Schizosaccharomyces pombe: one gene and its partner. The protein of the gene in region 2 interacts with the protein of the main gene of each other region in a pairwise test. Each region holds a gene or a part of one and is shown on either strand. Other genes may lie near its edges.

What was found.
Region 1: the proteins of naa50 (region 2) and naa15 interact in a two-hybrid assay, tested with the Schizosaccharomyces pombe proteins (one large-scale study listed by BioGRID).

The regions. Positions count from the first base shown.
Region 1 is NC_003421.2:1,360,833-1,366,869, forward strand, and holds naa15 (NatA N-acetyltransferase complex regulatory subunit Naa15), read left to right. Parts: upstream 1-1,785; 5' UTR 1,786-1,795; coding exon 1,796-1,849; exon of another isoform or gene 1,850-1,884; intron 1,885-1,900; coding exon 1,901-4,036; 3' UTR 4,037-4,121; downstream 4,122-6,037. Other genes in the region: Hsp20 family protein, read left to right, coding at 4,390-4,809; ubiquitin-conjugating enzyme Mms2, read left to right, coding at 5,789-5,799, 5,847-5,985.
Region 2 is NC_003421.2:1,654,985-1,660,973, forward strand, and holds naa50 (NatA N-acetyltransferase subunit Naa50), read right to left. Parts: upstream 2,574-5,989; 5' UTR 2,533-2,573; coding exon 2,098-2,532; 3' UTR 1,917-2,097; downstream 1-1,916. Other genes in the region: poly(A) polymerase Cid12, read left to right, coding at 685-1,695; trp663 (TRP-like ion channel protein), read right to left, coding at 2,647-3,561, 3,651-4,799; SPOM_SPCC663.15C (uncharacterized protein), read right to left, coding at 5,298-5,989.

The DNA.
Region 1 (6,037 bases), 300 kb from region 2:
ACGTGGTTTAGTACATCCCACTTATAGCCTTGGGAATGCTATAATTGTAAATGTTATTTTACAGTATCGTTTAACTAGTAATAAGTATCTGTTTTGGTAGCTTTATTATGCAAAGCTAACAGAATGAATTAAACACCGCACATAAAAGTGATATGCAAAAACGTAATACAATGCAATACAGTGTAGTATGGCTGGGATAAAATAACAGCTGTACGATGCTCCTCCTAATAAAAGTAAGCAATAACAAGAATACAAATTGCCCCCACTCGGAATCGAACCAAGGATCTTCGCATTACAAGTGCGATGCTGTACCACTAAGCCATAGGGGCAACGTTGATTGCTGCAGATTTGAAGTAACATATTAATAAGTAGATATTTTTGTAAGATTCCATTAAAAGAGAGTGATATTCATTGTTTATATAAAATACTATTGTCTGAAAGATAAAGAAGTTTTTATAAATTTTTTCTTTTTAGAAATATAAATTATAGTAGAAAATGTGAAACTTTTTCTTGCGCGGGATCTTGCACTTCGCAAATCTAAAAATCAGTATTCGACTCTTTAAGTCTCTTCAATGCTTAATTTACCATAATTTCTCATCCATTGTTTTTTCTTAGATAATGAGATTCATCCAGCGTTCTAGTTAATATAAAAATCTTTCTTCACTTGAGGATTTGAAGGCTAATTACGGTACCTGCTTAGTAGAATACATATCGTTAAATTAAAGAAACTTTTCTTATAGCGTATTTGATACTTTTCGTGTGTTGCAATTAACTTGTTAATTGCAATTTTTTTGATTAAAAAAAATAATGTATCCTTCGCATTCGAAAGGATATTTCAAATTTTTGTGCAATGCATCTCTGTTTGCCAAATACTTGAAAAGCAACGAGTTCTTCTTCTACTGAGAACTCCGCAAGGTAGGTAAATCTCGTGTAGCTGCTAAACAAATCCTACAGATAAGAAAAAATTGCCATTATACTTTTTTTCTGTAATATTTTTAAAGGCACAATTATCCAATTTTGTTTAACAGAACTAGTGTATTGCTAGATGAGGAAGTCTGTAGAAATGTGAAGTCGTATCCCATAGTATCAGGAATTAGTAAATTTAAGAGATTTTCAATCCACTGATTGTTTTAACTTCTCTAGTTTGTAATGTACCTTTTGTTTCAACCTTGGATGTTGGGACGTTTCTAGTTGAGGAGTGAAGCTACGAACCGTTTTAAATAATTAAGTGGTATTGCCAAATAATAATTAGTTTATAAATATACTGGAGTATACTGGTTTTCTATTCAAAAGATTCCCGATAAACTTTGCCTTACAGATATGTAATACCGTGTCCCCAGTAATTGCAAACAACTAGCAATTGAACCAATAATGAAAATTGATGTAGTCATTTGGTTCATCGATACTGGCCAAAATACTTAAAAATAGTTTGTTTACTCTTTGAATTTTCGTATTTTCATATAAGAAGGACATGCAAAAATTGTTCTCGATGTGCCATCTTTTCATGTTTACCATCCATCGTCCATTGCATGGCTATTCGATAAGTTTCCATAAACGATTTTTTGAATATGTAGTACTCAGCGAAGTATGAACGCAATGTTTGCTGTCTTTTTCTACAAAACCATTTCTTCCAGGTCTAACATTCAACGATACGAGATAATTTATGAATCAACGTCTTTTTATAAGCACAAGACAAAGAGTAATGAAGAAGAAAGCAACCTTGCAATGTGGAACACATTAACGAAATTCATTCCAAGGGTTCGTACTCTTCCCAACCTGTCCTCTACACTTACCCATGGCCAAAGTTCAACTGAGCCCGAAGGAGATTACCCTTTTTAGAACAGCATTAGTATGTTAATCTTCTACAATTAACAAATTGAAAATTTCTCTAACCCTGTAGAAATGCTATGAAACAAAACAGTACAAAAAAGGATTAAAGGCTATCGAACCCCTGTTAGAAAGGCATCCAGAGCATGGAGAATCCTTAGCAATTAAGGGAATTTTATTACACTCTTTAGGTAATACCAAAGAAGGATACGACAACGTACGACTTGGTCTTCGCAACGATGTTGGATCCGGTGTTTGTTGGCACATTTTCGGACTAATTAGCAGAGCCGATAAAGATTATGTACAGGCCGCTAAATGTTACATTAATGCTCATAAGCTTGAGAAAAACAACTCGAGTCTTTTGCGTGACTTGGCGTTACTCCAATCTCAACTTCGTCAATACAAGGCTCTAGCAGACACTAGGAATGCTTTGCTGCAGGACAATCCAGGAGTACGTGCCAATTGGAGCGCTTTAGCAGTAGCTCAATTTCTTCGAGGGGAATACGCTAGTGCATATAAAATAGTGGATGCATTTGAATCCACTATAAATCAAGGTGTGCCCGTTGATACCCAAGAAGAATCCGAAGCCATGTTATTCATGAACCTTGTTATATTAAAAAAAGATGGTGTTGAGGATGCCTATAAGCATTTACTGTCAATAGAAAAGAAGGTATTGGATCGGGTTGCGTTTTTGGAGACTCGGGCAGAGTACGAGCTTTATCTTTCCAAAATGGAAGAAGCCAAATCAACCATATATCTTCTGCTTGATCGAAATCCAGACAATCACCAATATTATTATAATCTTCAAAGAGCGTATGGGTATGAGGATGCCAGTGGTAAAGTATTGGATAGTGCTGAGTGGTTGAATTTATATTCTCAACTTGCTAAAAGGTATCCCAAATCTGAGTGCCCTACGAGACTACCTTTAGAAAAGCTTGAAGGGGATGAGTTTTTAACTCATGTAGATCTTTACTTGCGCAAAAAGCTTAAGCGTGGAATCCCATCTGTGTTCGTCGATGTCAAATCTTTGTACAAAGATACCAAAAAATGCAAAGTTGTTGAGGATTTGGTTAGTAAATACGCTTCCTCTCTTTCTACGACCAACAAATTTTCTGAAGATGACGATAATTCACAGATTGAAATTCCCACCACGCTTTTATGGACATATTACTTTTTAGCTCAGCATTTTGATCATGTTGGTGAGTTGGAAAAAGCTGAGAAATATGTTGATTTGGCAATTGATCATACCCCAACGCTTGTGGAGCTGTTCATGACGAAAGCTAGGATTTCCAAACATAAGGGAGAGCTTCAAACTGCCATGGAGATTATGGATCATGCTCGTAAACTTGATCTGCAAGATAGATTTATTAACGGCAAGTGTGCTAAATATATGCTCCGTAATGATGAAAATGAACTTGCCGCCAAAACGGTATCGTTGTTTACACGCAATGAGGCTGTTGGTGGTGCTGTTGGCGATCTTGCAGATATGCAATGCCTGTGGTACATGCTTGAAGATGGGAAATCATTTGCTAGACAAAAAAAATTTGCTTTGGCTTTGAAACGTTTTAGTACTGTTTTTAAAATATTTGATACTTGGGCTGATGATCAATTTGATTTCCACTTCTTCGCATTTCGCAAGGGATCTCTTCGTACATACCTGGACTTAATGTCTTGGGAAGACAGTGTTTATGACGATCCTTCGTTTAGAGAGGCTGCCCAAGGGTCTATTGAAATCTATTTTGCCTTATTTGATTTACCATTTGCTAAATATAGCCCTAAATTACCCGATTTTGAGAAGCTTTCTAGTGGAGAAATAAATGAAGAAGAGGAAAAGAAGATATACAAGAAGCTGAAGAAGGACCTTAGTAAACGATTGGAACGTGCTGAGAAGCTAAAAGAGGCCGATAAATCTCGTGCAAAATCTGAGGACGGTATGCCGGTAAAGTATGATGAGGATCCTCTTGGGGAGAACTTAGTTGCTACTAGTGAACCTTTGAAAGAAGCTCAAAAATGTCTTGAAAAATTACTCCCCTATGGAGATAAAAACCCAAGTGCTTACATTTTGGCGGCTCAACTTTACACTCGTTTGAAAAATTTCGATACCGCTAGTAAATACCTCGAACAAGCTAAAGTAATTTTGGGACAGAATGACCCAACTGTGATATCTACAGAGAAGTTTTATAACTCTATCAAAACTCAGTCTAACTAAAATAAAAGGTTTTTTACTTTTTGTACAATAATAGAAGCTGCAAACCACTTTGTTTAACAAATTAGTATGGAAAATAAAAGTGCATGGAAATAATATAAAGATGGTATTTTCATTGTTTTGTGCACCCCATTGTACCATTGAAATGTCTTGTTTTATTATATTGTTACAGAGAGAATATTCTGGTATATTTAACAAATCCCGGTTTTTGCCTACGCATATATATGTAGCATCACCAACCCACACGTACTTAGGATATCCGAAACGCAATTGTCCTTCAATTTGCTTACGCTTTGATTAATTATTACTCATCTTAATCAAAGTTAAATTTTTATTTCATTGTAAACACATTTAATATGTTGTTTGATGCTTTTACTAACGGATTTATGAATGATATTTTTGAATTTGGTGACCGATCGAAATTCAACAGATCGGCATGGTTATCGTGCTGGGGCCCAGCATTGGAGCTAAGAGAAACAGAGGATACTATTGAAGTTGATGTTGAAGTCCCTGGAATCGATAAGCAAAACCTTAAAGTTGATTTACATGGATCGAAGTTGACTATTTCTGGTGAGCGTAAAAAGCCAGAGGAAGAAAAAGCGGGCCCTCTTATTCGCTGGAGTGAAAGATGTGTAGGTGCTTTTTCACGTACGATAACCCTTCCTCAGCCTGTCGATGAAAAACTTATACACGCTTCTCTTAACAATGGTATCCTAAGCATTGTTATGAAGAAAAAGAACCCTGAGTTTACGACAAGAATTGTTGAAATTCAGTAGTTTCAAATACTCAATGCTAATTTAAACTATAGCATTGTCTTTTTTTGGTCCTGGCATTTTAATGCTTGTTTTATGTTTGTTCACCACCTTTTTTGCATGACATCCGATAAACTGCATGTAACAGATAAAAACCAAAGTACTACCCTCCTTTAAGAGAAATTTGATTATTAACGGCTATATATTCTCAAGCATGGCTTCATACGCTTGGCATCGATTTGCTCAAGTATCAGGCTTATTGCTAAATAACGGAGGATTAATATATTATGAGTTCTATTCATAATCTATGAAAGTAAATGAAAAGCTATTTTTCTCCCTTCTATCTGAAAATGGGATATCAGACTGCTACAAAATTAAATAAAATATTGGCAAGTTTTACGTTATCAATACACTACAGAAATAGGATAAATTCTAACAAATTAATGATTTGTATTTTTACATTTGATATGTTTTTAGAATACATCGTTCAAAGGATATTTGACTTCACTTTTGACCTTGGCAAAAAGTTGATTTTTTATCTTTTTCCAATGTAGGGAAAAAATATTGAAATTGCAGCCTGTGACAGGTTCACTAAACCAGTATTGAATATTCTATAAAGTAATTGTTGAAATATACTTTGACAGATTGCTAGCCTTGGTTCGAATGTTTTCGAGACCCAACTTTAACCAAATGTTACAGTAATTATTGATGGTTTTGGTATCTATCCTGTATTCTTTATTCTTCGAATAGTTTCGTTGATCGAATATTAGAAAAATTTATTCTCTGTAATCATGCATTTGTATTTGTAATGTATTAATCAAGTAAGGAAGAGAAGGTACTCACGGATCTGCTAGGACTATTAATCTAGACACAATTTAGATTCAAATTACAATAATTCAATATAAAAGCACCAATTTGAATCTTCAGATCTTGTTTTGAAATGATCAACAAAGATACTGTGAGATCCGAATGCACCGCATCCATTAACCAAGTACCACAAACGATGGCAAAAGTGTATGATTAGACATATTAAAGTCGATAACAATTACTAATTTTGATAGCCCTCGCAATTTTAAATTACTTGAAGAGCTAGAAAAGGGCGAAAAAGGCCTCGGAGAGAGTTCTTGCTCATATGGTTTGACGAACGCCGATGATATTACATTGTCCGACTGGAATGCAACGATTTTAGGACCTGCCCATGTATGTTTCTATTGGGGTATATTTCAAGTGTTAAATTGATGTAAAAAAAATG
Region 2 (5,989 bases):
GTGTTATTGCATGATATTTATTAATGTTTTCTTGGTTCAATAATTCCTTATTATAGTCACTTTTACACTGCTTGAGCGAAAGGGGATTTCAAAAAAACACCTTATATTCATCTTTCCGTGATTATTTCAAGTTGACTGTTTTTTGTGAATTTGTCTTTTGCTAAATTATGATTGTTACACTTAGTCCTACACTGTTCATTACGAATCAGATTACCAAAAAGAAAGAAGTACATGACTAATTACTTGGATTAATTTTATTTTATTTTCATATGTATTTAGACGCCATGACAGTATTTACATGCGTAAACCAACGAATTCGTTTATCAAATAAAAATATCATAAAGGAAACCTTTAAAAATCGAAATACACATGCTTAAGTTAAAATTTGCACAATGAGAGATGAGGGAGTACTTATCTATCTTTTGCTTGCTTTTCTTGGGTTCATAATCTTTGGTTTTCGCTATAAATGCTGTATGAGACTAGGAAGCTTTTGCAGTCAATCATTCTATTATTTATAAAAACAAATAAGTTATTTATTGATTAAAAACTCGTGATACTTTTTTTTGCTATAAAATGATTTATTTACATATAATTACAAGGCACTCGCACGACCTCGTTATGTGCGAGGAGCCATGAAATTGAATCCATTGATATTAAAATTAGCCAAAATGCCATTTCTTAAGAATGGGTAAAGTCCTGTTAGAGCTGCATTCAGTACCATGGAATGAAGAAGGTTTGAGTGATAATGCTCGACTTTATTCATTTTTGGAGTTCGTAAGCCCGAAAATCGAGGAATTGAAGTACAGAAAGCTTTTGTTAGAGAAACTACAGACTCACATTAGGGAGGTCGTTTTGGATGCTGAACTTCAAGTATACGGTAGCATGTATATTGGAACAACATTATCTATAAGTGATGTAGACGTATCTTTGAAGTCACCTCGAGTTGGAGAATTGGAGAAACGACGCGTCACCATGGTTTTAAGAAAGTACTTGGATGCTGATGCTGATTTCCATTCTAGTGCCAGAGTCCCTCGCATCAATTTAGTAGATGTTAGTGGAATTGGGGTGGATTTGACGTTTGGAAATGACAAAGCTTGCAGAACTGCTGAATTGCAAAAAGCTTATAACGAAGAACACCCAATTTTTGGTAGATTGCTGATGCTATTGAAGCACTGGTTGTTTGAAAGAGATTTGGAAAACGTTCATCATGGCGGGATTGCAAGTTGCGCGCTCTCTTATATGCTAATTGGTTGGCTTGAAATGCGATTTCACAAAAAGGGAATTGATTCGGAAGTGCAACCAATTCGAGCTTTACTACAGAAATTCTTCTATTTTTGGGGAGTCGAATGGACATACGAACTTTTTGTATTGAGACCTTTAACCGGTCAAATAGTTCCTAAGCTACAAAAGGGCTGGTTAAACGAAGTGCAACCAAATTTGCTATCTATTGAAGATCCAATTGACAGAAATAACGACATTGGAAAGCAATCATTTCAAATTAGTATGATTAAAGCTGCATTTGTTGCTTCAGCTAATGAATTATTATCCGATAAGACATGGTTTAGCACCTTTGCAATTACGGAAGATGAAATGTTTTTGTGTAAACAGTTTGAAAATGTTATAAATACTAAACGAAGTTTGGTGGAGGGATATGATAGTGATACGGAATCAGATGAATTACAAGCTGGCGGATAACTGCGGGTTAATGCATTTAAAAAATAATGCTCGCTGTTTAAATAAACATTTGTTTTTCAATTCCTAAGTTGTCTTGCCGCATGTGGTAATGTTTCACTACAGTTCGTATGTACTTTACTCTTGTTTAATTGAATGGATTCATATTCTTATTATTGATAGGATATAAGAATCCTACAATTATCTTAGTCATTTTCAAGTCTTTTAATTTTACTTAGGCAAGGTTCGGCTGTTTCAAATGATATCACATTTTGTACCTATTGAAGGTGCTAACAAAATCTGTTCTTTAAAAATTTCAAAATTAAATCTATTTTATTCTTTTAAAATCTATCCAAGGATCCATGTTAGATTTTCAAGTCAATTTAATAATTGCATTTCACTTAGATTAATAAATGTGTGTGCAATCTATAGCTTTTTCGAAAGAAGGACGCTATCTTCTGTTTTGGAGCTCTCATCAATAATGAATCCCCGATGAATAAACCATTCGGATACATCGAGTTTAGGGCTTAATTTAATGTAAATTTCTTTGGCTTTTCCCTCAGCTGCAGTCTCGCAAGCATATTCCAACAGCTTGGTACCAATAGAACGGTTTCGATAGGCTGGCAAAACTGCCAAAGATAAAATTTGGATTTTGTGCGATTTATTATGTGTTTCTTTTTTGCATCTAACAGCTCCTACGCAGACCTGGTTAAAGTACGCATATTGTGCTAAAGGCCCGACTGAGATTGTGTCTTTGTAAAAGGAGGTTGGAAATATAATGATTTCAGGATCAAAACACTTTTCGTTAATAACTTCAAGGATTTTCAGATTATTAGGGTTAATCGCATCAAGTTCAATCATCTTTTTTATGCAAATGCAAATATCTTTTTCTATATGTACTTGGTGTTGTCAACTTTCAGTCTTTAAGGCATTCTAATGCAATAGTTTGAGTTGGAAACATCCACGATAAAATCTTTAAACAGTACGCTGCATTTCATTAATCCCGTTGTCACATGAATGTGAAGGTATTGTAGATGCTGGTCGCATAGGAGAAGCGTTAACAAGGCTGAAGACATCGTCATTTCCATCTTCCTTTGTGTCTACGTTTCCTTCTTTCTTTGTGGTAGAGGGCTCTTCAAAATTTGATTCTTGTGGGATAATCTCTTCGGTGGATAGCTTTTCACTTGCAGAAACCGCAGGATTCTCAAAGTCAATATGAAGTTGTCTTTGATATTCATCTATTAATCTTCTAAGCCAAGGGACTGTGTAGCTAATGGCTGGCCATGCTGTACCTAGCATAGTAATGAAGTTCCAAAGGCTCCACAGGGCCATAAATGAAAATACCAGCCCTTGTATAATGATAAGAATGATTGCAATGATCACTTTCGGAATGATTGCTAAATCAAATGCTATCGGTATGAGAAGAGCAAAGGAAACCACTCGGGTGAGAGCAACCAAAAAGACGCAAAAGGAATTTTTGAAACCAACAAAAGGCCGAAACACTGCTAGCAATATAAAAGAGATGATTTCAATAACAAATAGAAGTATAGTTTGAATCTTCGCAAACTGTTGTACTAACGCTAAAACCAATGCAAAACTAAAATAATGTGCAAAGCAGGCGTAAACATAGAGCCATCGCCGTTCTTTTAAATCCAAATATAACCATCCCCACCATGTGTATATTTTTGGATCGCTTATCAATGTTTCTGGATTGTCCTCGTTACTCAAGCCTGACGTTGTTATCACTCTTATGACTTTGATAGTTAACCAAAGGAAAAGCCCAAAAAGCAGTGCCAGAAGCAAAGCCGCCAATATTACAGGGCCATATGCTTCCCTAAGTGTAAACTGGTAAATTATCATAGTTACCAATACAGGCCAACAAACCAACACCTATATCAACCAGATTAGTATAAGTATAAAGCAAAAAAGTCGTTAAGAGCTATGTATGAACAACTCATTCCTTTGTTCAATTAACTTACCCATCTCATACAAGCATTAAAAAGTACTCTAAACCAATACCTTGTGATATAATCGCATGAAGATTTTGCGATTATACGTGTCTGACGAAGAAACTTAATAATAAGTACGAATATTATAACGATTCCTCCTGCTATGGCCAAAGAAATCAAAAACCATATTAAAGTGAGTGTAAATAAATTCGTTGTTAGCGTTCCAACTTCGGTGGCTAGGCCTTGAAACCCATGGTAAAATCCAGGAATCGGGCTTTGAGGGTTTGTTGCAACAGCATCTCTTCGATGGACTCCACCTATCTTTGGAGAACTTAGGTTTCCATTGGAATGCTTTCTAAAAGACTCAAGGCTGTTTTCTATCTCTTTATTGGTAATAAATCCTAGAATCCATGCAAAATTACTAGCCCATGCGACTAGCACTTTTGGCTGTGTAATTCCAATTGCTCCCGTGAAAGCTATACATTGAAGTAGCTCTCCCATGTGCTGCAAAGAAGGAACGGAATTGATGAAAACCTGACGTGTCAGATAGGTGCTATGCTCCATTCCAATTACATAAAAGCCTAAGACGCCTGCTATACTCAATGCCAAAGCAGTTCCACTTAGAGCTTTTACGACTTTATTTTTAAACGTATGACCATTATTAAGTGTCGCGATCATGCACGCAAGTGGTGTAGAATTATCGATGGATGACGCTGCGATGTCTTCTGAGCGATACATGCGAAAACGCACTAAGCCTTCAAAATCAGGAATTCCCCAGGCAATTTTTGGGATCATCTGAACATCTTGAGGGCTCACTGGAAGTATTCCCTGTGTGGTTATAGCTGTATCTCTTGCAACTGGGCACACAGTATTAAGATTTATTTCACAAGGGTCGAAAGTAAATCTTGCCCTCTGCTCTCCATAAGCTTCAACTATAATATCAAACGTAACATTTGCGTCCACAGATGAATATCCAAGAATATTAAAGACTACTGACAAGTTTCGTGTATAATAACTTGCATCAAACCGATTAAACACTATCGGGGCATTTGACATGCATTCTGCGTACTCGGCTGTTCCAAGTTTGTGATTTGGTCTCTTACTATATCTTACTCGACCTTCCACTGACGATAAGATATTACTTAAAACTGCAAAGTAAGCTAAGAGTATTAGCTTCATTTTCATTTTCCATTAACATCCCCCTTCCAGTTATGTAGAGGGTTTAACTTTGGAACGAATGCAAAAAAAATTAAAATGAACTTTCCTCAGAATTACCAAACTATCACGAATAACAAAAACATGCTACTGAACTCAAATGCCGTAATTTGACTGTAATGTTTACGAAATAGCAGTCGTATTTTTTAACAACCATAGCATTGAGTTAAATACAAGGATTAAATAAATAGTAATGAAACGATTGAAGCTTTAAGATTTTTACGAAAAAGAATACAGAACGTGGCTTCGTTTATTTAGTTACCACCATCTTAGCATTGTTCTTACGCTCACAATTTTACACTATGAAAAAAGCAATATAATGGTAAAGAATGTATCATTAGTAAAGAATAAAAAAAAGAAATGCATTTTCATTTCATTTGTAGTTGTGAGAAGAAATGATGGAATGTGCGAGCCTCACTTGATTTTATGTCATTATGTTTTGGACCTCAATTAGTAATAAAATTATTCTGTTGAAGTCATTTCTGAAGGCGTTTCTTGATTTTTCGCTTGTAATTCGTTGAGTTGCTCCATTAAAAGATTTCGAAAAGGAGTCAGCAGCTTCTCTTTAGTTCTATTTAATTTCATTCCACAATTTGGAAGTTGTGGCTGCGGTACTCCATGAGCTGTAGTGGGTGTAATAATTGCGGACCCAAAGAAGTTATAAAGATGTAAAAGCCATTCACTAGTACTATCTTTATTCTCAATAGCCTTCTTGCTTTCTTCATCAAGTTCCTTCACATAATCACCAATTTCTTCCAAAACTTGATGTTTTGTCTCTTCATCCAAGGTATTTAAAGCTTTATGGGCAACATCTACCGCATCAGGAGTCTTCACCTCAACACTAAATTGTTTTAAACAATGGCGATACCAGTCGCACCACTCTCCACAAAGATCGGGCGCATTCACAACAAGTCGGTGAATGAAACGGACAAAGCAGCTTTGATAACGTTCAACAAGATTGATGAACTTTACTAAGGGAGCACCGGCCTTTGAAAGCTGAATAACATCCCATAAGAAATACTGAAAGTCATAAATAGCTTGTGAAAAATCGGCAGCTTGATGTGCTTCGTAAATGATATTATAAAACGCATTCATAAATTCTCTTACAACATCATTCAGTTGATCGTTGTCACATAGATCGTGGATTAAACATT